Linked DNA regions of Arabidopsis thaliana. The protein of the gene in region 1 interacts with the protein of each later gene in a pairwise test. Each region holds a gene or a part of one and is shown in the gene's direction. Other genes may lie near its edges. The genes, in order: DWF1, TET6, AT2G36330 and AT4G30660.

Region 1 (8,796 bases):
ATATGTATGGAATCTCTGCATATAGTTGAGGATCGGCCTTGCAATCTTTTTGGAATCACTTTACTGTTTTTCGCTGGATTTATGCTGGGTGTAGTTTCTGTTTTGGCTTATTATGTTTATACCGTTACTCGAAAATAGGTGTCACTTAGATAAAACTATGTAAGTTGAAAATGATGAACCTAATTTTCTGTAATTGAGACATACTGAGTACCTAGCATACAATTTACGCTAGAAAGTTAAAAACCAATGTATTGTTTTGGAAAGATTGTGCGATTTGGCAATGGTCAGGTGAGTCTTCTATACAATGTGGCATAGTCCTGTTCTGCTATTTGCATTTGTTAGTGTCCCATTGTTGATTGACTGACCAAAGCCTTTTATGTAATGGCAGGTTGGTTAATTTTCTCTTCTCGGCCTCAGAGATGGCGTATAACGAGGTCTCAGTTTTGTGTTTACATTCTAGTGCTGTTGTATGCATTTAGAAGAGGGGCGCTTATTGGCGGCAGAAAGTTTTAGGGTCCATTTCACCCAATCTCTTACAACTGTGATCAACGTGTATACCAATGGTTTGTTATAGTACACGAATATTTTATTCAAATAAAGATTTTTTTTCTTTTTCTGAAGGGATTCCATAACACATTGCACGAAGACACCTGATATTAGCAGTCACTAACTTTAGGATTGAGAAAAGTGTTCTCCAAGAATTCTAGGTGGAAGTAGTAATGAGTTTTTCACTTGGCCTTTTTTATTCCTTGGTTTTAGTTTTTTCCATATTGTTAGCTACAACAACTTTAATATTCTGCCATGGATATGCCTTTCTGGAGGAGGAACAAAAAGTTCATGGAGATATCGATGCGCAGAGCCTAAACAAGGTACATTCATCTTCTTTCTGTTTTTTGCAATGTTTTGCTGGTTTCCTGGCTATTAAACTTTGTCTTGCTAGATCATGTTAGGGAGAGGTTAAACTCTTCATAACTCTCAAATATCTAATATCGTTTCTTCCCAATCAACTCCTACTTATTAGCCCATCGCCTATCTAACTCACAATATTTTGCTTGAAAATTCATTGCAATATTTGGTTAGAAATAGTGTTTCACAACCTGTAACGAAGGCAAAGAACGCTGTTTATAGGCTATGATTGCTTCTTTTTTGGTGTATGCGTTTAGCAATTTACAGTATTGTGTAACAGTTTTGTATGCATGCATCGTTTTCCCCATTAGGATCAGTTTAGCAATTTTGTTCGATGTTACTAAGACTGAACTATGGTTAATTTCAGGGAACCAAGACAAAGGCGCAAGAAAGTCTCCTTTCTGGTCGTTTTCTTAATCTATTGTTGAGAAGTGATTTCTTTTCAATATTGATTGTTGAAGTAACCCATTTGAGTTAAGTTTTTGAGTAGGGTAACAATGTATCGTCTAATGAAAAGCCACTGAAAACGAAACGATCTGTCTTTGGAATGATTGATTGGTATTGCTAAAATCATGGATTATATATAATGCTAAACAAGAATGCTACCAACAATTGAACGTGTCCCCGATGTATTAGACTATTAGTTAATTGCACGTTAAGAGTAGATCTACACTTATTATAAGAAGTTAAGTACATGCAATCAAACAGAAGGCACAACAATTTAAAATAAAAACTGGATCGTGGGTGCATTAAACAAAGTGATTTTGTTTTCCATTCTCTTTTAGCAAGAATAGTAATAAAATGGAAGTGGCAGAAAACAAAAATTTGAATAATAAAAAGGGATTAATAAGAAGTGAGAAAAAATGGAGAATTAGTAATAAAATTACAAAAAATGAGGAAGAGAAATCACGTGAAGGAGTTGAGATCACGTCAGGCACATGTGGGGAGTAGGACAGTCCTCGTTTATAGATTTGTTATCTTCAACTCTCCTCTCTTCGGTTTCTCCGTTCTCTTTTGTCTTTTTCTTTCACCTTTTTTTTTTTTTTTAATTTTTTTACTTCAAGAGAAGTGTTTAGTCATAATACGCTTCAATCTTAACAAATCATAATTTATGTGGGTTGTTGTCTCTGGCTTCTTCACACTTTTTTAGGTACTAATGGAATGGACAAAGACGGTTTTTGTTGATGCAGAAATGACGCATGGGTTTATTTGGCGTTGGACCAAAGAGTAATGTCTTTGTATTTGGATATATATATAAACAAATTGGTGTTTCTTGTAATGTAAACATTGGTGTGATTACACGACCTTGTAACGGTTTAAAACTTTGTCAAGCGTCAACCAAATTTTCACTGACGTCAAACTGTCAATGTCAAAAGGTGTGATTCGCCAAATAGACATTTATTTTTCCATACTACAAAAAAATGATTTGTAGCTGTAAATGTGAGTAAGAAATTAGTTGGCATATTTTAAAGAGTAAATATATTTTATGAGAGATTTTGCAAGAGCTGGATATTTTCTCAGACAGGCCATCATCCCTGTAATTTTTTTTTTCTTTCTATGTCAAATAAATAAATAATTACTTTTTGGCGACAAAAAAAACTTTTTGAGCACTTCATTACTTTAAAGTGTAACCATTTTTCTAAATAAATCATGATTTTATTTGCTTTTCTAAATCAACTATTAAAATACTTAGGTGGAAATCAAATAATTGGTTACAGTAACAGAATTATATATTGAGAGCCTTTTTCACCAAATAACGTGATAGTTTGTGTGTTTATTACTGTATTATGTAGGCACTGATAATGATACAAATGATTTCATATATGAATTTTGATGAAAAGCATGGCTATTGGGATTTGGGAAAACATTTCTCATCACAGCCGTAGTTTTTTTTTTTATATAAATAAGAGGCATTTTATATAAAATTTTTTACTACACATTAGTTTCTAAAATACTACATTGTAATCTGAATAAGATGAAAGTGAATGACTAATTCACAATTGTTTTGGCTTAAAAAAAACACTCATTTGAAGATCCCTTAAGAGTTGAGAGAAAGATATAAGGAACTCTCATTAGCATTCATAATGTATAATGTTTTCAAGATATTTTAGGCAGTGCTTTTTTTGCTTCAATCATAACATATCAAAACTAAATGTTAAAGATTGTTGTAATAACTATTATGATAAGAAAAGTTGTAATGAACTTTTTGCCAATAAACAATATATAAGATCGTCGGCTTAGTAACCTCACGAGGATGGAATGTGCTTTAGGTACATCAACAAACATGTAGGAGGACTGTTTCGCTAAAAGCATTTAGAAAACAAAAATCAATACAATCAACCCATAAAATGCATTTAAAAAAAAAACGAATTGGACAATTACATTTCCTTCATTGGGCACATGTCTTCCTGTAATTTATTGTGATTTACATACCAAAAGAAAGATATATTTTTCTATTTAAAAGAAATTTAAACTGCTAAGATTTGTTGCCTTTTTTTATTTATTTGCTTTTACCTATTTATAGCAGTAAACTCTTTTCAGAAAAAATATCCCTACAAAGAATTTGTCCTCATATTCCTTTTATATGCTAACTGCTAAGTAAGAAATTATATTTTGGAAGATATGTCTAATTAAGCTCTAGGTTCGATTTACATATAATTTCTAAATGTTAAAAGAGTTGGTAAAAATATATTAAATACTGATATAAGTAAAAACAATTTATTTTTATTTTCTTACATCAGAATTATAAACTAAAAAATTGCTCATAAATATAACACATGTGATTTATCAACATTACAACTAACATCGAATTTTTAATTGCGATAACAACAAAGAAACTTAGAAATATGAAAAACCACTTATACAAACCCATGAAAAATATACATTATATATTTCTTAATTTCTATATTTTTGCGTTATTATTACCTTTTTTATTTTAAAATTATATAAAAAAATGGGAAATAAAAAATACCTTGTTTTGAGCGAAAAATGCAAGTGAAGCAGGCTGGCTTGAATCACGTTTTATTATAAAGACAAATGCTCTCACACTCTTGGGGACACTTTCACATCTCATCCTCTCACTCTCTCTCTCCTTTGGATTCTTCAGGTACTCTCTCTACCTCTCTTTCTCTCTCTGTCTCAGTCGCTGACTTATCATTTCCTGTCGTTAGATCTCTCAGTACTTGGTTCATAGTTGTTTCATAGCACGCACTAGTGAACTATGTGGGTTTTTTAATTTTAATCATCTCAGTCTTGGAGAATTTCAAACAAAGTTTCAAACTTTGCTCACCAACTTTTATTTATTTATTTTGGTGGTAGAAAACAGACTTTGATGGCTTTGTAGGAATACTAGATGTGTAGATCTAAAGATTATAACCATTTTCTGTGTTCTTGTTCTTTCAGAACATAACTTCATGTCTTTTTGTCTCTCTGTTCACTAGCTCTCTGTTTCCATGGACTCCACACTATCTTCTTCTTACAGATTTATTTCATACACATACACTGATACACATGTGTGTATACGTATGTGTTTATGTGTGCTTATTATACTCTTTTTGGATTCAAGAAACTAATCTTTAGTATTTTTGACATTCTGGTAGATTTATGCTCACTTCTTAGGCCTTGTTGACTTTTACAGTGATGGATTTTGAAACTCTGGTTGATTTGATTTTCTTTTTGGTTTGATGCAGTGAGGAGAGGAAATGTCGGATCTTCAGACACCGCTTGTGAGGCCCAAGAGGAAGAAGACTTGGGTTGATTACTTTGTCAAGTTCAGATGGATCATTGTCATCTTCATCGTCCTTCCATTCTCAGCCACATTCTACTTCCTCATCTACCTCGGGGACATGTGGTCAGAGTCCAAGTCCTTTGAGAAACGTCAGAAGGAACACGACGAGAATGTCAAGAAAGTCATCAAAAGGCTTAAGGGTAGGGATGCTTCCAAGGACGGGCTTGTCTGCACTGCTCGTAAGCCCTGGATCGCTGTTGGAATGAGGAACGTTGACTACAAGAGAGCCCGGCATTTCGAGGTTGACTTGGGGGAGTTCCGTAACATCCTTGAGATCAACAAGGAGAAGATGACTGCTAGAGTGGAGCCTCTTGTTAACATGGGACAGATTTCCCGTGCTACCGTCCCAATGAACCTGTCTCTCGCTGTTGTTGCTGAGCTTGATGACCTTACCGTTGGTGGACTTATCAATGGATATGGTATTGAAGGAAGCTCTCACATCTACGGTTTGTTTGCTGATACCGTTGAGGCTTACGAGATTGTTCTTGCGGGTGGAGAGCTTGTCCGCGCCACAAGGGATAATGAGTATTCTGATCTTTACTACGCAATCCCGTGGTCGCAAGGAACTCTTGGACTCCTTGTAGCTGCTGAGATCAGGCTTATTAAAGTCAAGGAGTACATGAGACTCACTTACATACCAGTCAAGGGTGATCTTCAAGCCTTAGCTCAAGGTTACATTGATTCTTTTGCTCCCAAAGACGGTGACAAGTCGAAAATCCCGGATTTCGTCGAAGGCATGGTTTACAATCCAACGGAAGGAGTGATGATGGTTGGAACATATGCATCTAAAGAAGAGGCAAAGAAGAAAGGGAACAAAATCAACAATGTGGGATGGTGGTTCAAGCCGTGGTTCTACCAGCACGCGCAGACCGCCCTGAAAAAGGGACAGTTTGTTGAGTACATCCCAACTCGTGAATACTACCACAGGCACACAAGGTGCTTGTACTGGGAAGGGAAGCTTATTCTTCCATTTGGTGATCAGTTCTGGTTTAGGTACCTCTTAGGTTGGTTGATGCCTCCAAAGGTCTCTCTTCTTAAGGCCACTCAAGGTGAAGCTATCAGGAACTATTACCATGATATGCATGTTATTCAGGATATGCTTGTTCCTCTTTACAAGGTTGGCGATGCACTCGAATGGGTCCACCGCGAAATGGAGGTAAAACTAAAAGCTCGGTTTCATGATTGATCATCTTCTAGTTAAAGTTTCTTTTGATGTTATTAACAAAATCATGAATTGTTTGTTCTCTTTCAGGTGTATCCAATTTGGCTTTGCCCACACAAACTCTTCAAGCAGCCAATCAAAGGCCAAATCTACCCAGAGCCAGGCTTCGAGTACGAAAACAGACAAGGAGACACAGAAGATGCACAGATGTACACTGATGTTGGAGTCTACTACGCACCTGGCTGTGTCCTAAGAGGTGAAGAGTTTGATGGATCAGAAGCAGTGCGTAGGATGGAGAAATGGCTGATAGAGAACCATGGATTCCAGCCTCAGTACGCGGTGTCTGAGCTCGACGAGAAGAGCTTCTGGAGAATGTTTAATGGTGAATTGTATGAGGAGTGCCGCAAGAAGTATAGAGCTATTGGAACGTTCATGAGTGTTTACTACAAGTCCAAGAAAGGAAGGAAGACTGAGAAAGAAGTTAGAGAAGCCGAACAAGCTCATCTCGAAACTGCTTATGCCGAGGCAGATTAAGTAATAATAAGCCTTGGTTTGATGTAATGGCTCGGGATGATTATTGTTATTCCTAGTAGTGTCTGTTATGTTGTTGTTTCCTAATTTCAGTTTTAGTGTCTTGAAGACTCTTGTTGTTGTTGTTTGCTTCTTGTTGTTGTTTGACTCATTCTGGTTTGAGTGGATTTTAGAGTTTAAAACTTTTGGATTTGCCTATGAAATTGAAGGTTTCCGGTTTTATCGTGTTGCTTGACTGTCACAATGTAAGCATGTTGCTGTAATGAATTAATTGATCTACCAATTTGAGAGATCATTTCAACTTCTCTCTTTATACCACCACCAACTAGGCTTTAGATCATTCACGACGTGAATCTAAAACACTAAAACCCGACTTTGTTAGTTTTATTGGGGTGCGGTTAGGTTTGATATAAACCTGGAAATACCGGTATTTGAACCGAAGTTGACCGGGTGAGACTTTTTAGGATAAACCCAAGCAGCCATTTCCGAGTAAGAAGAGCTCTGTTTCTGAAAGAAGTTTTACAGAGTCGATCGTCTAAAGCGTTGTTGAAGCACTTGTTAGTGGTAAGTAATTTCGATTTATTAATTCTTGTTGTATCTTTTGTATTCGAAGTTACTTGCTTGTTTTTCGATTTCGTCTCCGTCATGATGTTTGCGGCTCTGTTAATTGGAAGTGGAAAGGTCTGTCCTTTATCTACATAAAATGGTGCATAGAAGGTGTTCGACCAAATTCCTAGCTCAAATTCCTTTAGTTACATTAGCTCTGACTGGAATGTAACTGTGAAGTCTCGATACCCAATTCATTCTTTTCAAAAACAATTGAAGATTATTATTTCCCTTCTCAAGATTTTCTGTCTTTTCTCTATTGTTGACACTATATCAGCAAATGTTTCTTGCAGGTGCTCTGTTTCAAGCTGGATAAACCCAATCCTATTGGGATTTGGCTGGATTTTATACCATATTTTAGCATGATTGTTTGATAAACGCTTGATAAATTGCCTCTTGTTGTCACCTTTGCTACGAAAATGTCTCTGGTTTGCTCTTTATCTTGTGTAGCTCCCTTGCCACAGACTAAACAGTCGCGTCCAAGTTTTCTGAAACTCGAAACATGTACCTTAAGTTTATCTTCTCCCGCTGGCTATCCTAATTTTACCACCGGTATTAGGAAGCATATCAGTTACTTGTTCACTGAACCGATCAAGCTTCCTAGGCTAGCAAAGAGTCGGATATTAGTTAGTCAGGAGTCTTTTACAGAGACCAGCACAATAGATATGGATTGGGAAGATCAGGAGGAAATTGAGGATACTGGGTCACCTTGGGAAGGTTCGGTTATGTATAGGAGAAATGCTTCAGTTACACATGTTGAATATTGCACTACCTTAGAGAGGCTTGGGTTGGGAAGGTTGTCAACAGATGTCTCGAAGAAGAGAGCTTCTGCAATGGGACTTAGAGTGACAAAAGATGTCAAGGATTATCCAGATGGCACACCAGTTCAAGTTTCGGTTGATGTCATAAGGAAGAAGAAGAAGCTGAGACTTGATGGAATTGTCAGGACTGTTATCACACTCGGCTGCAACAGGTGCTTTCTTATGAACTCATCGAAGCTTTTTTACTTTATTGTGATTGCATCAACTTTGTTATTTAACGGGTTTTCTCTTATGTGTTTGAAGATGTGGTGAGTCAACAGGTGAGAGCATCTTCTCCAACTTCTCGCTATTACTAACCGAAGAGCCAGTTGAAGAACCCGATGTCATTGATCTAGGATTCACATTCGGTAATGACAAAGAAGAAGGCGAAGATGATGATGATAATGATGATTCATGGATAGATTGGGAGGATAAGCTTCATTTTCCACCTGAGGTGAAAGAAATAGATATCTCAAAGCATATAAGAGACTTGGTGCATTTAGAAATCACCATCACTGCGATATGCGATTCTGCATGTAAAGGAATGTGCTTGAAGTGTGGTGCGAATCTGAATAAGAGGAAATGTGATTGTGGCAGAGAAGAGAAGGATAAAGGATATGGACCTCTCGGAAATCTTAGAGAGCAAATGCAACAAAAAGAGGGACTAAGGAACTAAACTCAACTCAACGATAATTGTATGTATTTTCCTTTTTACATCTTCATCTTGTTGGTGTTACTGTCATAAAACTCAAAATCAGGTACAATAATGTTCAAATGTGAATCTTAAGTAGCTATAACGTTTTCATTATCTCATTCATATGATTTTTATTTAGAATCAATCATTACATATTCTTGTAAATGTGTTTTTTATTTTGTATATATTGGAATATGAACAGTATCAAAATCTTTTTAAGACTTTGAAGTACATTGAACAGAGAGATTCAAAGAATAAAAAGGTTTCTACTTCTTCTTAAGTTCAAGTAGTCTTGACCATCTCTTATCGA
Region 2 (7,715 bases), 3.0 Mb from region 1:
TCCACGAACGCCGGCGGTCACGGAAGCGGCTAAGCCTTTTCTCGATAGGACGGTCTCGAGCATCGATATGCCGCCGGATATTTACTCCGTTGATGGAAGTGATGTGTTTTTCGGGGAAGGGAAAGATGTAGACATGGCAAAAGTGTCTGTTTTGGAAATGGTTTGGGAGGTTTTTGGAGTAGTGACAAGTGGAAATCGGCAGATGAAGAGACTGTTTCTGCTAATTGCGCTTAATGTGTTGTATTCTACAACAGAGCTCTCTATTGGTATCTTCACTGGTCGTGTAGGTACGATTTGGTTTCAGTTCTCTTTTTGTTTTAGGATTGAATCTCTGAATTGTTGATATTCTTTCTTTGAATTGTTTTGTGGACTCTTACAGGTTTGGTCTCTGATGCATTCCATTTGACATTTGGTTGTGGTCTCTTGACATTTTCTTTATTTGCAATGGCAACTTCAAGGAAGAAGCCTGATCATGCTTACTCATACGGGTGAGTTACAAGTAATTTGATTGGCTCAGTTGGTTAATCCATTTTATGATCTATTTTTCTCCCGAGACTGTAATGTGATTATGCTCAAGTGGTTGTAATTTAGGCATCCTTGTCTTCTCTTTTTTTTGGGTTCCCAGGTACAAAAGACTTGAAGTTTTATCTGCTTTCACTAATGCTGTAAGTATGTTCTTAACGTGTTTTGGATGTCATTTCCAGCTTTAGTGTAGATGGCTTGACTCAGTGTTAAAACTCTTTCCTTTACTGTTGCTGATAGAATAGAGTATTTTACAGCTCGTTAAAAAGATTTGGACTTCCATACAATCTATCTTTTCGTTTTGCCTTTCATTGTCTCTGTAGTTTATCTTTTTGGTTAATACTTTGATTTGTTTAATATTTGACATATGTGTAGACAGCTGTTCCTTATGTTCATGTCATTCTCCTTAGCTGTGGAAGCTCTTCATGCATTTATACAAGATGAATCAGAGCATAAGTAAGTTGATATTTTCACAAATGACATGCCTAGGAGTTTCTATATATATCTCTAGCACTTACTAAGTTTACAGTACTTGTTCCCTCTTGTTCCTTTCAGTAGTGTGATTTACTGAGATTTCCTTTATGTAGGCATTATTTGATTGTATCAGCGGTAACAAATCTGCTGGTGAACCTACTAGGTGTTTGGTTTTTCCGGAATTATGCTCGTGTCAATATTGGTATGTTTTTCTCTGCATTTTAAGTTCTGTTTAGACTTGTATGAATTGATGCTCATACGCTGCTTTATATTTTGATATAGCCTTTGTTGGTGGCTTTGGTATTCATTTGTAGAAATTGGCCACCCTTGTCAGTTTTCGCTTTAAAGCCAAAGAAGTAAGGGTGTTTGGTTAAGATAGAATCAGTACGAAGATTAGTTGAAAGAGAGAGTCAGCATAATTGTAACTGATCTGTCAAACGACTATTCGTTGCTTCTTGAAATTATCTGTCCCTTCTTTACATATCTAAAAACCACATGTTATCTTGAATTTTTTTCTTATATTCATAATATGCAATATGCTGCAGCCTACAGAAAAGCAGAAGATATGAATTATCACTCCGTTTGCTTGCACGTCATATCAGATTCCATCCGCAGGTGTTAATCCTCTCTGCCTTTATAAATTTCAAGCAGAATCGGAGAAAGCTATATAGAAAAGAAAATGCTTCCTTTTGCATCAAACTTATATACAGTCAACATGAAGTTTTCTTTGCTGCTGTCTTTTCAGTGCAGGTTTGATACTGGCATCTTGGCTCCTCTCGCTCGGGTAATACTCGCTTTCTTTGAAGGAGCTAAATGAATAAAAGTGTCTTCTTGCTTGACTACATTTTCCTTTTGCTCCTTATGCCTTGGCTTTTTCAGGGTTGAAAATGCAGAGGTCCTATGTTTAGGATTGGTATCGGTCACAGTGTTTATGCTTGTTATGCCACTCTTCAAAGCCACTGGTGGTGTCTTGCTTCAGATGGCACCCCCAAACATTCCTTCTTCTGCTTTAAGCAAATGCTTGCGACAGGTTCGCTCATAAATCGTTCCTCGAATGTGTACATATTTCCCATTGTTGATCAAACCAGGCTTCTCTTCAGCTCTCTCTCTCTGTACAGATTACTTCTCGAGAAGATGTAACGGAGGTTTTACAGGCACGTTTCTGGGAGGTTGTGCCTGGTCACACTGTTGGCTCACTCAGACTCCAGGTACTCACTTTTCTCCTTTTTTTTATATCGGTTAAAACATGAGCTCACACTAGAAATGGAAATGACTGGGTTTGTTATTTTGTTTATCGGCGTTAGGTGAAGAGCGGAATAGATGAAAGACCATTACTGCAATATGTATATGATGTATACCATGATTTGGGTGTACAAGACTTGACCCTGCAAACTGATTACACCTAAGCTGCATCTGCCTCTTCTTTGTTTTTAAATGCTGATTTGAAGATTTTTGGATGTATACTAGAGATCATGGTTCTTTAGGAATATAAATATTGTGAATTTTCAAGTTGTGACTTTGTGATATTGTTTTGTTTGTTTTTCATTTATGTGAATTTTCAACCACACAAAGACCACAAACCTTTGTATCTTCAAGCTTGTGGATATTTTGGCTCATAATGATTGGCGAATTAAAACATATATCATTTGCTAAATGTGAAAGTAAACACACAAAAATTCAATATGAGCTGAGACAAGATTTTAGCATTCCTTCTCGTTTATTTATACGATAAAAAAGGAAGTGGGGGAATCGGAGATCACATCAAGCTATATCTTAAAAACCTAATATTCCGAGGAATGGGCCACTAAAAGCATCTTAGAAAGAAAATTCATCGATTACGAAATCATCTCCCGTCCATGTCTATATATTATTCTTTGCTTACTCCTATGCTTCATTGAACATAGCACATTTATTTTATTCCACTTGTGATCATCCATTATATAAACCATGATTGCAGTTTTTGGACTAAAAGCTAGAAAAAGTTGTATTCTTTATGGTGTAATGTCTTAAGAACATATTTTAATGAAGGCACTACTTGATTTCTCTTGGTTGTGGTCTGCTCTGTACCAACTCCAACGACAAAAACGTATAATATAGAATAATAAACAAGAAACAATTGTTCAAAAAGACACTTTTATTTGAAAATTATACGGTTTTAATGTTATTGTTTAATTGATTCAACTCAAGAGAGAGAGGACCAAAAGAATATGATCATGAATCATCAAACCATTAACTCTTAACCTTTCCCCTTAAAAAATTCCCAATTGATAAGAGAGAATCAAAAGCCAAAAGTAGAGTTAACCAATATTATATCTAGAAAAAGAAGATTGTAAGATAAAGCTGATGAAATTCACATTGCAAGAAGAGAATCTGCTTACAAAAGAAAGAAGGCAGTGTTAAGTCTCTGATTTCTTCTTGATAACATTACTACTATGTACAGATTCAGCAACACAGTTATTGGGGTCTTAAACCTTCTCACCTTACTAGCCTCGATTCCAATCATCGGAACCGCTTTATACAAGGCAAGAAGCAGCACGACATGTGAAAACTTCCTCCAGACGCCGCTACTTGTTATAGGATTCATCATACTCATAGTTTCCCTTGCGGGATTCATAGGAGCCTGCTTCAACGTGGCATGGGCTCTTTGGGTGTACTTAGTGGTCATGATCTTCCTCATCGCTACCCTAATGGGTCTAACGCTATTTGGTCTGGTGGTGACGAGCCAAGGAGGTGGAGTGGAAGTGCCAGGGAGGATTTATAAAGAGTATAGGCTTGGAGACTATCATCCATGGTTGAGAGAGAGAGTTAGGGATCCTGAGTATTGGAACTCCATTAGAAGCTGTATCTTGAGTTCCAAGACTTGTACTAAGATTGAGTCTTGGACTACACTTGATTATTTCCAAAGAGACATGACTTCTGTTCAGGTACAATCTACTTTATGACATGATTCATGCTTGCTTAACAAATTGCTATAGTAATCTAATATATATCTTATCATATGATAATTTAAGCCTTTGATTTTATTTGTTTCTTCGTTTCTAATCGCGTGTAAAGCAAGCATGTGACTAGAAATGAAAAAGGCAAACGAATTTTTTCTTTCCGTGTGTGTTTTGTTGAATCGTATTTGTATTCTTACTTGCAAACAAAATGATAGTGTGACCTTACCAGTTTTTTGCTGTAAACATATAGTTTTCTCTTTTTACTTAGTTTGTGTTTGGCGTTTGCATTTAGACAAAAATATAGTATTATTGGGGAAGAAAAGGCTTGTTAAGAGTTAAGACGTGACTAATAAAAGACAATGCAGTCGGGATGTTGTAAGCCACCGACGGCGTGTACGTACGAAGCTGGAGTAGTGGACGGAGGAGGAGATTGCTTCAGATGGAACAATGGAGTGGAGATGTTATGCTACGAGTGCGATGCTTGCAAGGCTGGTGTTCTCGAAGAGATCCGTCTCGACTGGAGAAAGTTATCGGTTGTCAACATTCTCGTCCTCGTCCTCCTCATCGCGGTCTACGCCGCTGGTTGCTGCGCCTTCCACAACACTCGCCACGCAGCTCATCCTTACCATCCATCTGATGATAACCGCATGACCAGAGTCCGTCCTCGTTGGGACTATTACTGGTAACCTTATCTCTCTCTCTCTCTCTCTCTATATATATATATATATATCACTTACCAAATGCATGATCGTAAAATGAAAGTTTTGTTTCAAAATTATACTTGATCCGAATTGAGATCTTGGATTTTTTTATTTTTTGACAAAAGCATGTTCTTATTACAGGTGGAGATGGTGGCACGAAAAGAAAGAGCAGCTTTACTAAAAGCCGCATCGTTTTTTTGTTCTTAATCATTTTCTTTTTAGCAAACTTAGATTAAGAAAACACAAAGATAGTTTAAAAATGTTGATGTAGTCCTGTTCCTATAAATCATCAAGAGATTAGTAAGATTTGCTACGAGTGCATGAGTATATGCATATATTTTTCGTCTCACTTGTGAAATATACTCTATGGAAGACTTATTAGAGTTTACTATTCCTGCAATTTCACTTCAAAGCTCAAAACGAAAAACAAACAGAGTAGGTTGCAATGGAGACTAGCTAGGATTGAATTGTATATATATATTGATAGTAATTATTTTTCAATACAACAAAATTACATCGTCGGTTATTATGTTCTTTTGGTTGCAAGATTTCTCTGACGTGTAAGGCCTGCCATTCTCATTGTTCCTCCACCTGCAGAATTTTCCAAAAGTTATACAGATACTGTCACTATTTTCAAAAAGAATTACAACTTCATGCAAAAAACTCGTACCTCCTCCATTTTTGTCAGATCTTTTACGGCTACGCCAAAGAAGCCGAATTGGAGTCCCAGCAAAGCCTGCATCAGTGCGTAGCTGTTTCTCCATATACCTTCTGTACGTATCCGAAAACAGCTTTGCGTCGTTTACAAAGAAAACAAACGTCGGTGGCCTTATTGCTGCCTGCATTATACAACCATTTTATATACAGACAAACAAACCCGAAAAGCCTCTAATGCATTTTCCTTTACTGCTACTAGAAAACATTGGGAGATGTTTTTATTACCTGGGTGCAATAGTAAACGCGACCTCGCTTGCCTCCACGGGTCCTTGGAGGGGATTTAAATGCAACTGCTTCTCTTATCACTTGGTTCAATATAGCCGTACTAAGTCTTCTTGATCTCTCCTTTTGAACCGTAGCAGCAGCAACCACAATACTACATTTGAATTATATATTATCAAACAGACTAAGTAAAACCGGACTGTAAGGTTGAAAATAGTTTTTGAATCATTTGAAGGAGACTCACTTGTCAACGCTATGGCCAGTTATTGCGGTTGAATAAACAATAGGTGCCCATTTGAGGGAACGGAGCTTCTCCCGAACATCGTCCTCGTAATGTGCTGCAGTCTCTTGGTTTTTGTTCGGTATTGTATCCCATTTGTTTACAACAACCAGACATCCTTTCCCTTCTCTTTCTATTCTTTCTGCAATCTTCAGATCCTGTGTTTCCAATACATACCATTAGAAAAATTTCACATGATAAGAAAGTTCATCATTTTTCCTTTGTTACAATAGCAAGGTACTTTTGTGTTATCAAATCCTTTGTGACATTCTAAAACTATGTCAGTAAAATTGTTTGTTGTTGGACAGGGAAATAATTATACTGTATGGTTCAACTCTGTCTATACCAAAACAGTCTGCATGCTCTACAATTGCTAATGAGAAACAGTCATCAGTGTCAGTTACTAGTGAGATACCTGCTCTGTTATGCATGCCATAGCTTCAATGACAAGGGCAACAACATCAGAACGACGAATTGCTCGAAATGCACGATTCACTGACATGGCCTCTGTAGTGCTGCCTGATGAAGCCACAGATGACTTTTTCCTGATCCCAGCTGTATCTATAAGCCGAAACTTCTGCAACACAGTTCATGATCATATTCAGGGTTAAATGAACAGGTATTCACCGAAAGAAAACTAGGCCACAAAAAACACAACAGACAAAACTGAACGAACCTCCCCATCTGGTCCGGTAAATTCTGCATCTATAGCATCACGGGTAGTGCCACTAACAGGGCTAACAATTGTTCTATCCTCTCGGACAAGTGCATTTAAAATGCTACTTTTGCCAACATTTGGCCGACCAATAATTGCAATGGCAGGAATGTAGTTTTCTTCTTCCTCCTCTTCAATGTTCTCCATGATCTAGAAAAGTCATTGAATCGTATGGGTGCAACAGATGTAAGAAAATGTTTTAATATTTGGTTTGTAAAGTGATGCCTATTGAACATAGTTGTCAATGCTACTCATCAACAATAATTATTTGAAGGAGACGTACATGTCAAGGCTATGGCCAGTTATTGCAGCTGAATAAACAATGGGTGCCAATTGAACATATTCAAAAATGCCTTAAGGTATTTGATAATTAAGAGATGAAATTTTGAGGGTGTATATAATGTAGATTCAGACCTTGAATTTTTTTTCCAGAAACACTATACTTCGATACAGAACTCTCTTCATAAAGGACTATTTGCCAATATCTCATATTCCTGCACAAATTTGTTTCTGAAAGAAAGAAAGGCCATTACAAACCTCGAGTTTAATTAGGCCAGAACAAACAAGATCAAGCAGCTCTCCTGTTCCAGTTCCCGACAATGCAGAGATAGGGATAGGTGTGAACCTGGAAATTCCACCATGAAATCAATGAAAACACAAAACAAATGCACAGAAGCAAAGTAACTAAAATGTTTAGCATTGCATGTAAATCATTTTCTCTCCGGCTAAACCACAGCTACCAACCTCCAGCAAAATCTCATAAATTTGTTGGATAAACTACTCACTCGCATTCAAAAAGAAAGGTGAACATCAAAATAGACACTATAATGGGAAAAAGTCATTCTGATGCTTACAAATTTCGCCAGGTCCATAAACTCATCAAAATAACAGAACTAGATTCATAAATTAGGACAAGACTGTGTTGAATAAGAGAGTAACAAATATTCAAATCATATAAAAGTACCAAATGACGTTTGTCCATGAATTCTATATTTGTAGAAAGTTAAAACACTAAATGAAAAGCTATCTTCTAAAGAGAAGCTCTCTTATTTTCAGCACGTTTTTATCCTTAAACCACATTTCCCCAAAACAAGCCTACTTTGTGCGCAAACATGATTCTGAAGTAGGATGAAAGTCAATTTACC
Region 3 (7,752 bases), on another chromosome or scaffold:
TGAAGACTCAAACCAACAAAAAACTAGTGTTTGTTTTATTTCCGTGGTCAAATGTAATAATATATTTCTGTGTGTATTAGGTGATATTTAGAATTTTTGTATAATTTCCAAAACAAGAAAATACTTCAAATAAATTTCATATTAATCTTATCAAAACATATCTTTCATATTTTATATGACCATTATTGGATGAAGAAGAGTCAAACCAAATATGAACTAGAGTAGTAGAGTTCAATTTTTTTTTTTGACAACAATGTTTTCTTTTTCTGGTCAAATAAATAAACCTTTTTTGTTCATATTAAGGTGAAAGAAAATTAGAAATTATGAACAAATGTTTTAAAAATAATATAAATATCTAGATCATATTGCATATATTTCATTTACCAATGTTAAAGATTTGTGTATATATAGAAAAGAAATCTTCAACAAAATTAAACTGCTAAGAAATTATTAAAAAAATGTAAAAGAAGGAAAAATATCTAAAACATGAAGCCAGAGAAACGAAATAGGAGTATTAATTAATTAAAGAAACAAACTCAATTAATTAATTCAATGGAAACCGCTAAATTATTAACCGTTCGCCATAATTAAAATTTAAGAGACACACACCTTAAACCTCACCTATATATTTTCCATGCAAAAAAAAAAAAGACAACAATTTCAACCATCATGAACATTACTAAACTCACTCCTTGGTTTCTTTTCTCGTGTCTGATTCTTCTATCAGGTATTATTAGTCTATAACTTTCATTTTCTTCTTCTTGATCTGTTTAATGTATGTATCGTATATCAAATTACAGCAATTAATTTGTATTAAATCAGTTTCATCGATTAATTTCTTTTTCCTTTTGATATACGTGCTAGACTACATAAAGGTAAACAGCTCAATTTCTCCATCTAGCGAGCAAACACAAGAAGATGGCTTTTTTGGTTTCAAACCTACAAAGTTGTTTGTGTTCGGAGACTCGTATGCAGACACTGGAAACACACCTTTCCTGATCGTTCCCTCGTGGAGGTTTCCCAATGGAATCACTTTCCCGGGAATACCTACCGGGCGGTTTAGTGATGGTCGTGTTTCCACTGATTATCTCGGTACGTTTGAACTATAATGTTTTGTTTGGTAATCTGTCACAATATCTGAGTCTGTAAGATTTATAATATTGTAAACAGATTGCAAAGCTCAGTGAAAAACTCTTAGATTAGATATGTCTTAGCTGTACATTTGCATTGCATCTCTTATATAATGAAACGCAAGTCAATAAATTTTGTTCATTATAATTTGTTTTAAATGTTGACCATATAAGTATTTAGTTTAACGTTTTCACTCTCTCAAAATGCAAGATATCTCTAGTTTAACGTAAATCGGTTGCCAACAGTAATTATACCCTATATATAGAAAACATATATTATGCAATAAATCTTATAGTTTGACTTATATTGTAACATGTAGCGAAGTATATTGGAGTTAGAACGCCGATCACATACAAATGGGGGAAATACGGACGACCGAGACTAGCTGTGAAAAGAGGAATGAATTTCGCATATGGTGGAGCCGGCGCGTTTGAGACAATGTTCAAATTAGTTCCTACCGCTAGTGTGCAGATTGATTCCTTTGAACAACTCCTCATGAGAAACGTTTATTCACCGGCCGATCTCAACTCTTCCGTCGCTTTCTTTAGCATCATCGGCAATGACTACCTTACTTACGACAGACGTAATGGTTCTGAAGAGGTACAATATACCTTTTCTTTTCCCACTAGGGTTGATCAAAATTGATTACTGGTTGACCATTTTTGATCCATATATTATATAAGTTAACATTTTCGATTTCTTTTGAAAATATAAAATCTGGCAGGGTCGTTCAGCACTCACAAGGAAAGTAGTGAAACAGATTTTGTTGGATGTGAAGCGAATTAAGGATTTAGGAGTAAGAAAGGTGTTAGTGGCTTTATCACCACCGCAGAAATGTTTGCCGAAGCTTGTCACTCCTAAAGGCTGCGACACCAACGACACCTCGACGTACCTCCACAACAGTCTTCTCCGCAAAGGACTGATAAAACTAAACGATAAGGAGATTAACAATAATGATAAAAGTTTCATGACGTTAGATCTCTACAATGCCTTTGTGACCATATTCAAGAACAAAGGAGTTTCAGGTACGTAAGATATATACCAACACTGTATATGACCAAACATAACCGATCACGTCTTTGATAGATTAAACAGAAATACATATACCTAAATAGATGGGATATATAATATAAATGTTTAAATTTGGGCAGGAGTTTCGACATTTCCGGATCCGTTTAAGGCATGTTGTGCAACAAAACGAGGTACCTTTTGTGGAGATAGAAGCTTGAGTGGTAAAAAGTTGTACACTCTTTGCGATGATCCAAAATCATTCTTCTTTTGGGACAATGTTCATATCAGTGATCAAGGATGGCGTTCTGTTTTTTCTCTTCTTCTTCCTGATTCACAGTTTTAAATCAACTAGATCAATATGCAATAATTCTCCATTCTAATGATATATGATGATTATCAATTGTCTTCATAACAATGCATACAAAGATTATTTCAATACCCACTTAAATAATAATTATTAGCTAGAGACTCTAGTCTAGAGTCAAAACCAAGGGCCACAAAGAACAAATCAAAGTTTTAGGTGCGAATTGTCAAAACTAAAATAGTGGGGCATTATACGAAAGAACCAAGAATACAGGGAGAAGTAGACAAAGAATCTTGCAAAGTCTTCTTTCTGTGTTTGATTCTCATCAAAGACTTCACTTTTGTTCTTTGTCGCTTCAATTCAACGCTTATTCCTAAATTCGATTTTGCGTTGTCAAATTCCTTAAATTTCGTTACAAAGGTTTGATATTTCCGATGAGATCTCCAGCAAAGACGATGCCGTCGATGTCACCTTCTTCAGTTTCCACGGAGAAATCTCCACCTCCGTCAGATACTTCAATGGCTATAGTAGCTTTCGATAACTCCACTACTCACTTCTCTTCTTCTCCATCGCCGCCACATTCTCTTGATCATTCCAGTGAATCGGAGAAGGAAGATGCGAAAAGTAAACCCGAGAGTAGAAGAAACAAGAATCCTGGAAAGGTTGAGGAAACTCCATCTCCGATTGTGGTGGTTCATAATCACAATCGCTCTGTGAAAGAAGTGGTTCCGACGAGAAAGAGTGCGAGAGTTGGTTCTGGGAGAAGTAGTGGCCAACGATCTGGAGCTGTTTCGGCTATTTTGAGAAGGTCTAGGAGAGAAGAGGTGGTAAAGTTTTCAGCTTTAGGGTTTCGGTTGAGTGAGGTTGTGTTGGCTTTGATATCTTTCTCAATTATGGCTGCTGATAAAACTAAAGGTTGGAGTGGTGATTCTTTCGATCGTTACAAGGAGTACAGGTAATTATTTGTTGTGTTTGTGCTTATTTCTTCGCAGATAGTGATGTTTCTTGAATTTAGGTTCAGGGTTTATTTTAGGGTTTAGGGTTTTATCAGTATCACTAGTGTTGGTTTTTTGATAAGAAATTTGGATTACTTTAGTTTTAGTACATGTGAATTGTCTTTAACACTTGCGTGGTCCAAGTCTATGTTTTGGTTGAACTTGGTGAAGTCCTTAAAAGAAGTAAAGTTTGTTCCTTTTGACATTGATTTTGATTTGTTGGATCGTAAGAATTCATTTGCAGTTTCCATTTTGTTGTTTTGGTCAAACATTTGAAGTCAGTTTAGTATGATTTGATTTTTGATTTTGAGACTAAACTGATTTATCTATGTGTCATCTTCTGATATCTGTGACAGGTTTTGCCTGTCTGTGAACGTGGTTGCTTTTGTATATTCTAGTTTTCAAGCATGTGACTTAGCGTACCATCTTGTCAAAGAGAAGCATTTGATCAGCCACCACCTTCGACCTCTGTTTGAGTTCATTATAGATCAGGCAAGTCATTAACACTTATGCTGTACTCTCGATGGTATTCCTTTGTTACTTTCGTTCTTGTATGAAGTATGATCTACGTGGTTGCATCTAGGTGATGAGAAAAACTTGGCTATAGATAATTCCTGATACTTTGACTTGCACCATCTGCTGGTATTTACCCTGTCTCCTGTGAATCAAAGAACAACACTTTGTGGTTAAAGTCCAATATTGTTACTCTTTTTCTTTATGCTTTAGCTTATAGCATATGTGGAAAGGGATTTATCTTATAGGTCGGAAAACATGGTGAAAGTGACTGTTATACTTGTTTGACCAAACTACTCCCTTCATTACATAATTGAAATCTCTTTCGTCCCCTGCAAAACATTTCAAAAGCATGTGTAAAAACAGATGGAATTATGAATAAGAAAGGTTTGTTTTGTTTGTGCAATCAGGTACTTGCATATCTGCTTATGTCTGCCTCAACAGCAGCAGTCACTCGCGTTGATGATTGGGTTTCAAACTGGGGAAAAGACGAGTTCACAGAGATGGCAAGTGCCTCGATTGCTATGTCCTTCCTGGCCTTCCTTGCCTTTGCTTTCAGTTCCCTCATTTCAGGCTATAACCTATTTAACCAAGGCTCTCTCTGATCCTCCCACCTTTTTGTATAGGTCCACACTCCTTGTGTGATGTATAATAAAAATGATCAATATATCTTAGCATTGTAATTATTATACTATTTTTGTAGCCTATATAAAGGTTTCCAAAAACTATGAGGTTAATAAGAGAGGCATATCCTGTTGTCAAAAGGGTCTTTATAGCCAACTAAATAAAGACTCTGACAGAGCAAAAGGCAACAACTTTTCAGCTCTTGAGCCATATGAGTGTCCTCGATTGTAAATGAGACCTCAGACTTATCCATTGTGCATCTTGAACCCTGAAGAAGGAAGAAGAAACCATCTTGCACAAGCCCAATGTTTAAAAATGGAAAAGGGTATTTTAGTCATTTACGTTTTCGACACTCGGACTTCCTAGTTCCTACGCCTGGAGAATATCAATAGCCGCCAAAGGATTGATCGTGCTTTTGCTTCGTATCGTCTCTGGGTTTTTAAATAGAGAGACTCGAGAGACTCTGTTTGACAATAGGGTTTTGAGCTTTCTGAGAGTTTTATATAACTTGACAAAGTTTTGATCTTTCATCACCGATCAATGGTTGGTACGAAGAGAGTTGCTGATTCCATCGACACCAACTCGGATGACACACTCACGAGGAACCGTGAGGTTGAAGTTGAGGCGATGCTCAGTAGGAGAAAGCAACTAAGGACAACAACGACGAGGACAACAACGACGAGGACAACACCATTGAGCTTGTCTTCCTCTGCTTCAAAGATGAACTGGTCTAAAAACGATGAGCTTGTCATTCTCGGGGTTAGTTAGTAAATTCTTTGCAGCTTCTCTATATTCTTCTTTATCCTCTTCTAACTTTTTTTACTCTATTTTGTGTGTGTGTGTAAAAGGGTATTGTGGACTATGAGAATGAAACGAAATTGAGCTATAGATCTGACTGGGATGCCTTGTACCGTTATATCAAAGATTGTGTAGAAGCAAAGTTTTCGAAGATTCAGCTCATCAATAAGGTCAAGAACATGAAGAGAAAGTTTACATACAATCAGGGGAGATCTAACCATGGGGAACAACTTTCTTTTACTAATACTGATGATGATGAAATCTTCAAATTGTCATTGATCATATGGGACAAGAATGAATCAGAGTATGTTTCTAATGAGAATATAGACCAAGCTAAGGTGAGTGTCTTTGTTCTGTTTTTCAACAATCTCTTAGACTACTAATGTGCAATGAATTAATGATCTTGTTTTCTTGATTTGCATAAGGATGTTCCTTCTGGTGAGCCAGAGACTAATGATGTGCCTTGTGAGGAGCAAGACGATAGGGATGTGCCTTGTGAGGAGCAAGAGCGAGCGAATATCGAGATTGATAATGGTGTGAGAGAGAAATTGGACCAAGCCAAGGTGAGTGTGTTAGTTCTGTTTTTTCTACCAATCTCCTTGTTACCATCTTAAAACATGATGTAAAAAATTGTGTTACTAATGATGTGCAATGAATTAATGATCTTGTTTTCTTGTTTTGAATAAGGATGTTCCTTGTGTGGAGCAAGAGAGTGAGGATGTGCCTTGTGTGGAGCAAGAGCGGGTGAGTATAGAGATTGATAATGGTGAGAAAGAGAAATTGGACCAAACCATGGTGAGTGTGTTTGTTCTGTTTCTACCGATCTTCTTATTACCACCTCAAAACATGATTTATTGATCTTGGTTTCTTGTTTTGAGTAAGGATTGTGAGGAGCAAGAGAATACGGATGTGCTTTGTGAGGAGAAAGGCGATAAGGATGTACCTTGTGAGGAGCAAGAGAATAAGGATGTGCCTTGTGAGGAGCAAGAGCGGGTGAGTATCGAGATTGATAATGGTGAGGAAGAGATGAGTAGCGAAGAAGATGGTGTGGATGAGGTAGGTGTTATGGAGGACACACTTGATTCTGGGATATCGTTTCAAGGTTTAGGTAAAAATGGTGTGAAAGACAAGAGTGAAGAAGATGATGTGGTTGAGTTGGGTGTTCTCCAGGAGATATTTAAGGAGGATACATTTTTTCAAAGTTTAGGTAGATATCAACAAAAATTGCTGCTTCAGAATTTGGAAAACGTTGGAGTTGAAAGAAGAAAAGAGCTCATCAACGAATGGAAGGCATTGTTTGTTGATGAGCAGCGATTGTGTGTCAAGAAACTAACTTTCGCCGCAAAGCTTGCAAACTTAGGAGTTTCTCCTTGATTCAATGAAGAAAAATCTCTGCTTTTGGAATGATCTCATTTTTTTTTGGTTGTGTCATATTGATAAGAAAAAACATGATGTATCCACGATCCGTTCTTGTTCTAGAGCCAGGTAACTGAGGTAAGTAACAGTTAGAGCTAACCATAGCAGATTCTCCTTTTTTTAGTGTTGTGTTTGTTTCGACTCTTCCTTTTGGGTTGGGCTTCGATAACGATTGTTCAGGCCCACTAACATTCTTTTCTTATTGTGCGTCTGTCTCTTTCGAGAAAAAGACACAAGCACTTAAAGCCAAGATTCGCATTTTGCCACATGCCACTAATTTCACCTTGTGTTAGATATTATTTTTGTACTACACACTCAACGAAGACCATAGATCAACTCAAAATATTTATTACACAACAATTATCGGAGAAGAGATTGATGTGAAATGTAATGAAGACGAAAAGAAAATAAAAAAAGAAACGACGAATTTGGACGTAATTTTCAGCCAAAACATATGCTTTGGGTCCCACACTTTCACATTTCAACTTTATCATCACACCGAAACACTAAACACCAAAATCCCCGACAAATTTAAAGAAAATTTTTCCATTTTTTTTTTTTACTCTATCTCTGTGAGAGATTCTCTTCAAGCTCAGGCCTTTAGGCTTTAGGTTTCTTTTGGGAGTCTTCTTGAGCTCTGTAATCACTCTCTAGAAGCTTATTTTGCCTCCTAATGTTATTAGGTACGTCTTTGTATCTGTACTTGCTTCTGCATTTTTCGATATTTGTTTCTTTTGATGAGATTTGGGGACTCTTCCTTCAGAAGGATTTGAAGATTTTGACATCTTCCATTAAAAGTTGAATCTTTACTTAAGCTAGTGTTCTTAGCATTCTGTTTATGTTAGCTTCATGAGATCTGGGATCTCGAGGCTGCTTTTTTTTTTTGCTTTGATTTCACATTTAATGGGTTTTGATTACATTTTCATTAGGTGAAGTGAGTTGAACTTGGCTTGTGGTTTT
Region 4 (6,595 bases), on another chromosome or scaffold:
TGTGAGAGCATCTGTACCATGTTTTGATTTGAAACTGAAGAATACAATTTGCAATGAGAAGGAAGCATTGGCTAATAATGTTGCAAGTTGTGACTTGGATAAGAAGCGAAAAAGGAGCAGAGGAAGCGATGTTTTGACATTCCCCGTTTCACTTCCTGACCTTAACGGAGAGGGAAACACTTCTGGCACTGACAAAGTCCCTGGCTTTGACCTAAACCAGATCTCGGTAAAGCCAAACAACTTGTGTTATTTTAGTGTCTTCCTTTTGGTAGAGTCTATAGAACTTTATTAGTTTGATTTGTGTTTTGGTTGTAGAGAGAAGAAGAGGAGCCGGAAGTGAATGGTGAACATATGGTCGCGGAAGCAATGAAGAATGCAATGCTTGATAACAGGATCAGTGATCTACATGTTGAAAGAAAGTTACCCATTTGCGGAGATGTGGAGAAAGAGTTAAATAGAGCAGTGAAGAGGAAGGTTACATGGCAAGATCCAGTGGCTTTAAGTGTTTAGGGTGTTTAGTATGAAATAGGATTTGAGATAATGATTTGTCGTCCCAATATGCACATATGCTTATACAAGTATATAGATATAAGATTTGATTTGATGACTTAGAAAGTCATTACTTCCATATGTCCAACATAGGAAAACCTTTGAATAATAACTCTTGTCATAAGTGACTACATTATCCTTTTAATCCAATTTGGTAATTAGGGAATCTCATTTGTTGTTGGATGTTCTTACTCATTCTCTTAATCAAAGTCGAGGAGCAGAACCGTTTTGCTCCAACTTCAAACTGACAGAACATTAATATAAACTGGATATCAAAATTGGAAAGGTTACTAATGACCAATAAAAAAAAGCTCTGTTTTGTAATAGGTAAAGAGCATGCTTGATTATAGAAGCTGAAAAAGTCTCAGCATTTTTGTTTCCATTGACTACATTTATTCCATTGACGATAAAAAAAAGTCTCAACATTTCAAGTCTATTCGTACTCAAAACGACGAAGCGTTCTTCAATCCTATGGAAGTCAACGGCGGGGAAGGAAAGGTGGAGATGGGATCGGGACTCTACCCTGACTGGTCTGAGTTGACTCGAGAATGTCTTCTTGACATCTTCTCACGGCTAAGCCAGGAACAAAGATGGATTGGACCGATGCTGGTCAGCAAGAACTGGATGAACGCATGCTATGACCCGACACTAAACACCATCTTCGACCTCGAAACTCGGTTTCTGTCGTTCCCTGAGTCGATCAACTGGTGGACTCCCGAGTTTGAGGATAAAGTCGATTCATTTCTCCGATCTGTTGTTGATCGGAGTGAAGGAGGTCTCACAGAGATTCGGATCAGGCATTGTACAGAACGCTCTCTATCTTACGCCGCCGAGAGGTACGTATCACTTTTCGTGATAATTCTCAGTTTTAGCTTGAGTCCATAGAGGTTAATCGCAGAGTTTTGATAGAATGAATAAAATGTCATGTGGTTTCCATTTGCAGGTGCCCTAATCTAGAGGTACTTTGGATAAAGAACTGCCCAAATGTTACAGATGCGTCAATGGAGAAGATAGCTATGAACTGTCCAAATCTTAGAGAACTTGATATAAGCTACTCTTATGGCATAACTCACGAGTCTCTGATAACATTGGGGAGGAGTTGCCAAAATTTAAAGATTCTGAAACGGAATTTGTTGCCCCGGCTAGGTCCTAGCCTGCCAACAATCGTCGCGCCACTAGACTATCTGGCTACATTTCCTAGATATGGGAATATAGAGGCTAGAATAATTGGGAAATACATGACACAGCTCAAGCATTTGGAGATTCGATACTCCACATTGACTGCTAGAGGACTTGACTCGGTTTGTAAGGGATGTTCGAATCTAGAGTACATGGACTTACGCGGATGTATATCATTGACCAGAAGTGATATAAACACTAATACGTCGGGCTTGAAGAATTTGACGGAGATCATTAAGCCGGATTTCAATCCTCCGATTGCTGTTTTACGCGTTCCAAGACCTGGTAATCCAAGAGAGGAATGATGGTGTTTGGTTTTTGTTGGACGCACGTTTTGATCAACTTGTTGACCGGTTTTTATGCTCAGAGCTTCCTCTATGGCATTTTTTACTCTGTTCTTATCTATGTTTGAATTCCTAAAACAATGTGAAACCCTTTTTCTTTGTGAGTTTGTCTTGTCACTAAATTCCCAACTTTTGGTGTGTTCTATTAATATTCTTCATTGCTTTAGGTCTGAATCATAGTGTTAAGTGAAATAAACATTGAGGGAAATGGGTTAAGTAAATGTACTGAGATAGCTTGCCATCTAAGCAAGCAACAGAAAAATTGGGCTAATCAAAGTCCGGTCCCGGAAACAATAGAAGACAGGCCTTCTAGGCCAACTTAGTCACGTGATCCATTAACCGTACGATAAGGGGGCGAGTCAGAGTAATAATATCCCACAATGATCAGGTGTGTTGTGTTGCACCATACCTTGCGTGTTCTTGAGATGAAAATATCTAAAGAGTGGGGGCAAGGTAAGGTAATTTTACGAGATGTCGGCATGTAAGCTGAAGCCGTACGATTTATATACCAAACAAATAAACGGTGCAGATCTCGTAGTTGACTTGGTAGCGCCAAAAATAAAAAGCCGTGGATTGCTCTTTTAATTGGATCTCTGTGCTACCGACTACTTTCAGTGTTCTCTTCTTCTCCACTAATTCAGATCACATTCAAGAATCTTCTTCACTCACATCTCTGAAAAAATGGCGAGCAACATGGAAGTTTTCTGCGAGATCTTAATCGCGATCCTTCTTCCACCTCTTGGAGTTTGTCTCAAACGTGGCTGTTGCACTGTAAGTTATTGGAATTTTGGAATCATGAATCTTGAGATTTAGTTTAGAAAATCTGACTCTTAGTTTTTTTGCAGGTAGAGTTCTTGATTTGCTTGGTGCTGACAATCTTAGGATACATCCCAGGGATAATTTATGCACTATACGTGATCGTGTTTCAAAACCGTGAAGGCTCTACCGAACTTGGAGCTCCACTTAACTCAGCTTGATCTGTTTTGGTCCATTACACGGATCAATATGTTGTTGAAACTGTTTTACTTATCATGTACCAAATAATAAGTTGCTTTGCAATTTTTATGTATTGAAGATTTGAGAACATTGTCGCGTTATTGATACATTGCTTATCTTTTTGATGTATAACTTGTTGGCTTTTGCAAAGTCAGGCTACGGACCTTCCTAAGAGTTAATGTATCAAATTCTTTGCCAAGATTGTATTTACCGGAGTTTAAACTTCGCAAAATGCGGAAGCATTTTTGAGTTTGAAAGGATTTTGTATGATGCCAACATATATTATGGTATAGATTATGCTAAAAAAGATAGATTTCTGTTACTTTGGCAAATAATGACAATGATTGTGAGTTGAGGAATCAAAGTCTCAGTAATACGACACCGTTTGAGTCAAAACGTTTCTGTCCAATTCCAGTCTGGTCCCGGGATTAATAAAATAGACAGGCCTTCCCAGGCCCATTTAGTCACATGGATGAGTCAGAGACTAAAATATCTAAAAGTGATCTGATGTGATAAGGGTGCACCATATCGTTCGTTGTGATTCACGAGATGTAATCTAAAGCCGTACGATTTAAATATCAATAAATGAACGGTGCAGATCTCGCACATTGACTTTGTAGTGGAAACAAAATAAAACGTGGACTGATCTCTCTTCATTGGTACTCTCAACTCTGTGACAGCAAGTTTCAGTGTTTTGTCTTTTAAAAAAACTCTTAAAGCTTCTTCTTCTCTCATCTCATCTCTCTGAAAAAATGCCGAGCAACTGTGAGATTCTGTGCGAGATCATTATCGCGATCCTTCTTCCTCCTCTCGGAGTTTGCTTCAGGAAAGGATGCTGCACTGTAAGTTCTCTCTCTCTCTCTTTCGAATTCCTCAATTTTGAAGAATCCTGGAACTTCTTATAGAGACTGTAATTTTGGATTGATTATAATGTAATTTGGTATGAGTAATGAAGGGAGTGCTTAATCTATGATATGAATCGCAGAAATTCTCTGGATTGGATCAATTTATGTTTGATTCATTGATTCCTGAAAGCTTGGATAATCATTTGAAGAAAGTTGAATTTTTTTTATGTGTGGTTTGTTTTGGCAGGTGGAGTTTTTGATATGCCTGGTGTTGACGATCTTAGGCTATGTCCCGGGGATAATATATGCGATTTACGTGATTGTGTTTCAGCACCGTGAAGAGTACTTTGATGAATACAGACGCCCCATCTACTCTGCTTGATTTCTGTTTCTTTGGAACTGTGTTGCTTTGACTTGTACCAATAAAGTTGCTTTGCAGTTGTTTTCAGAGATTTGAAAACGTTTGTGTGTCATTTATATGCAATATTGAAAGTTTCTTCTGTTATCAGCTTATGAACCCTCCTGCTATGTGTGCTTATGCATCAGGTTGTTGACATAGTGTTTTCGCAAGGCACAAATTAAATTATTAAATTGAAAGGTTAAAAAAAAAAAGAGTTTAATTAGAAGGCGAAGAACATCAACAGAATTGAGCTCGCGACCGTGGAACCGTAGCGCAATGCCATCGAGAGACAAGGTCGACTAGTAGCGGATGATCCACCCGCACCATGACCACTACTGGGGACACGACGGTGGCTACGACCACCACCACGACTACCACCACCAACACCACCAAAACGAGCTTTCCTCATGAAAACTCGAAGAGAGTCATGATGATCCAACGGATTGGAGTCACCGTGTTGTGCAAGTCTTCGTTCACTCTCCTTATTTTCAGATGAAATTGGCAAAGGCTGAGAGAGTAACAATAGGAGTACAATCAATGAACAAGAAAATGCCAGTGAAGTCCTCATTTCTGTTTTATCAAATAATATGTGTGTATATACATGTATCTGATCGAAAAAAATCAGAAATATGTGTTAATTTTACAATGATGGGACGCATTATGTGTGCAAAAGAATTAGTATTTATAATATCGCTAGGCTTAGGTAACGAAACGACCATGGCTTAAACATGGGCTACTTCTTCTTTGAAATGATGTTTAATACTATTATTGTATTTAACTATTGGGATACTTATTACTTATTAGCAAAGAAACTTTCCTTTTGCCAGCAACAAAGAAAGTTTCCGAGAGGCAAAATCTAATTACGTAAGGGAGGATCATGATTAATTAAGCCTAATGGGTAACAGACCCAAATGTTATTATTTATCGTTTTCTTATGTGAAATGGAATTTAGTGAATTTCCAACGTAAGGCAAATAGTGGTCGAAGGGAAATGGTGCCTAGTAGTTAGTTCTAATTGTAACTGAATTTGATTGAATTCATGTAGTAGATGTTTTAAAGAGGTTGTTGTTAATGGTAAGAATAAACAAAGGAACAATGTTCACTATACCTGCATTCTCTCTCCACTCAGTCTTCAAAATAATTGATCGTGAGATTAAGAACACTATCACCGCCAAAAAAATCAAAGGGGTCACTTCTGAAATCTTATGGCTGCGATAAACTGGCCCGAGATTTTCCCACATAAGTTTGTTTTCTTGTTTTTTACTCTTTTTTTTTTTTGGCCAAGTACACAATTGTATAGGTTTAACCAAAGTGTAAGTTCTGATTATTCATATTAATGATATTTACAATTTAGCAAACAAACAAAAAAATTCCAAAAATAGTCGCATGTAGTTGTGTGTCAATGATAAATTGTCTTAGACAATCAGTTATTATTCATTAAACAAAACAACTGGAACCACAATATTAGACAAACCAGATCAGACAACTTTTCAAACATTGAAGACTTACAAACTCAATCTTTGCCGGAAAAGAAAACAAATCGTTAAACTCGATCGGAAATACAAACTCAAACAAACACGCAAATTCAAGCCATTTGACAAATAAAATAAAAAAGTCGCAACCTGTTATCTTGGATTAAAATGCGGCGAGCAATAAAACAAAGGAACTCACAACAGTAGATACATAGGTAAATGGGTTAGAGAGAAGGGTTCGAGTGGCTGCTGATTTGTCCTTCTTCTTCTTGCTCTTGCTTTTGCTTTTCCTCACGAAGACTCGAAGATGGTCGTGGTGATGACCGGATGACCCTTCCTTGTTCTCTTCATGTTCAACTAGTTCCCGACCCAAAGGAGTGATCGTATGGCGTCCGCATGAAATTATGAGGGATTGAGAAAGTAACAAGAGGGAGATGATCAAAAACCAACCAAGAAGAGAAGAAGTTCTCATCTTTTTCTTATTCTTTAAACAAAATTGAATAGAAAATATATTTATCTTGTGTTTTTTGAACTTATGAGTGTGTCTGTGTATTTATAGATTTGTGTGAAAGTAGTTGTACCATACTCTCTTCTTCGTGCACGCAACCAAACAGATGAGCTCTTCCTTAATTAACAACTAGGCAGTGATATAATCATCAAGACAGCTCATAACTGTTTTTTCTTTTGGAAAACTTCTTACTTACACAAGAGACATTTTGACACGATCCAGGATCATATGACTCTGTCAACGTATTAAAATCTCAAATTTTATATGATTGACTACGTATGAAAAATGGGAAATATCCTTAAA

What was found.
Region 2: the proteins of DWF1 (region 1) and TET6 interact in a protein complementation assay, tested with the Arabidopsis thaliana proteins (one large-scale study listed by BioGRID).
Region 3: the proteins of DWF1 (region 1) and AT2G36330 interact in a protein complementation assay, tested with the Arabidopsis thaliana proteins (one large-scale study listed by BioGRID).
Region 4: the proteins of DWF1 (region 1) and AT4G30660 interact in a protein complementation assay, tested with the Arabidopsis thaliana proteins (one large-scale study listed by BioGRID).

What each region holds. Positions count from the first base shown.
Region 1 is NC_003074.8:6,877,428-6,886,223, reverse strand, and holds DWF1 (cell elongation protein / DWARF1 / DIMINUTO (DIM)), read left to right. Parts: upstream 1-3,908; 5' UTR 3,909-4,012; exon of another isoform or gene 4,013-4,595; 5' UTR 4,596-4,607; coding exon 4,608-5,849; intron 5,850-5,945; coding exon 5,946-6,389; 3' UTR 6,390-6,700; downstream 6,701-8,796. Other genes in the region: AT3G19810 (BTB/POZ domain protein, putative (DUF177)), read left to right, coding at 7,412-7,965, 8,057-8,468; AT3G19800 (E3 ubiquitin-protein ligase, putative (DUF177)), read right to left, coding at 8,753-8,796. UniProt on the Arabidopsis thaliana protein: Plays a critical role in the general process of plant cell elongation. Involved in the synthesis of campesterol, an early precursor of brassinolide.
Region 2 is NC_003074.8:3,849,428-3,857,142, reverse strand, and holds TET6 (tetraspanin6), read left to right. Parts: upstream 1-3,276; 5' UTR 3,277-3,428; coding exon 3,429-3,920; intron 3,921-4,300; coding exon 4,301-4,617; intron 4,618-4,777; coding exon 4,778-4,817; 3' UTR 4,818-5,018; downstream 5,019-7,715. Other genes in the region: AT3G12100 (Cation efflux family protein), read left to right, coding at 1-287, 380-488, 626-665, 902-978, 1,110-1,198, 1,542-1,611, 1,742-1,780, 1,876-2,026 and 2 more; emb2738 (GTP-binding family protein), read right to left, coding at 5,163-5,227, 5,307-5,475, 5,579-5,729, 5,820-6,013, 6,271-6,432, 6,532-6,720, 7,108-7,195, 7,715-7,715. UniProt on the Arabidopsis thaliana protein: May be involved in the regulation of cell differentiation.
Region 3 is NC_003071.7:15,230,740-15,238,491, forward strand, and holds AT2G36330 (Uncharacterized protein family (UPF0497)), read left to right. Parts: upstream 1-2,760; 5' UTR 2,761-2,880; coding exon 2,881-3,401; intron 3,402-3,797; coding exon 3,798-3,933; coding exon of another isoform or gene 3,934-3,945; exon of another isoform or gene 3,946-4,083; intron 4,084-4,364; coding exon 4,365-4,559; 3' UTR 4,560-4,789; downstream 4,790-7,752. Other genes in the region: AT2G36325 (GDSL-like Lipase/Acylhydrolase superfamily protein), read left to right, coding at 670-727, 865-1,092, 1,451-1,731, 1,856-2,156, 2,283-2,485; AT2G36340 (DNA-binding storekeeper protein-related transcriptional regulator), read left to right, coding at 5,119-5,337, 5,427-5,714, 5,802-5,939, 6,064-6,171, 6,259-6,750.
Region 4 is NC_003075.7:14,951,650-14,958,244, forward strand, and holds AT4G30660 (Low temperature and salt responsive protein family), read left to right. Parts: upstream 1-3,729; 5' UTR 3,730-3,820; coding exon 3,821-3,910; exon of another isoform or gene 3,911-4,160; coding exon 4,161-4,295; 3' UTR 4,296-4,351; exon of another isoform or gene 4,352-4,511; 3' UTR 4,512-4,522; downstream 4,523-6,595. Other genes in the region: AT4G30630 (uncharacterized protein), read left to right, coding at 1-226, 316-510; AT4G30640 (RNI-like superfamily protein), read left to right, coding at 1,021-1,385, 1,493-2,033; AT4G30650 (Low temperature and salt responsive protein family), read left to right, coding at 2,754-2,843, 2,918-3,049; AT4G30662 (uncharacterized protein), read right to left, coding at 4,534-4,881; AT4G30670 (Putative membrane lipoprotein), read right to left, coding at 5,948-6,256.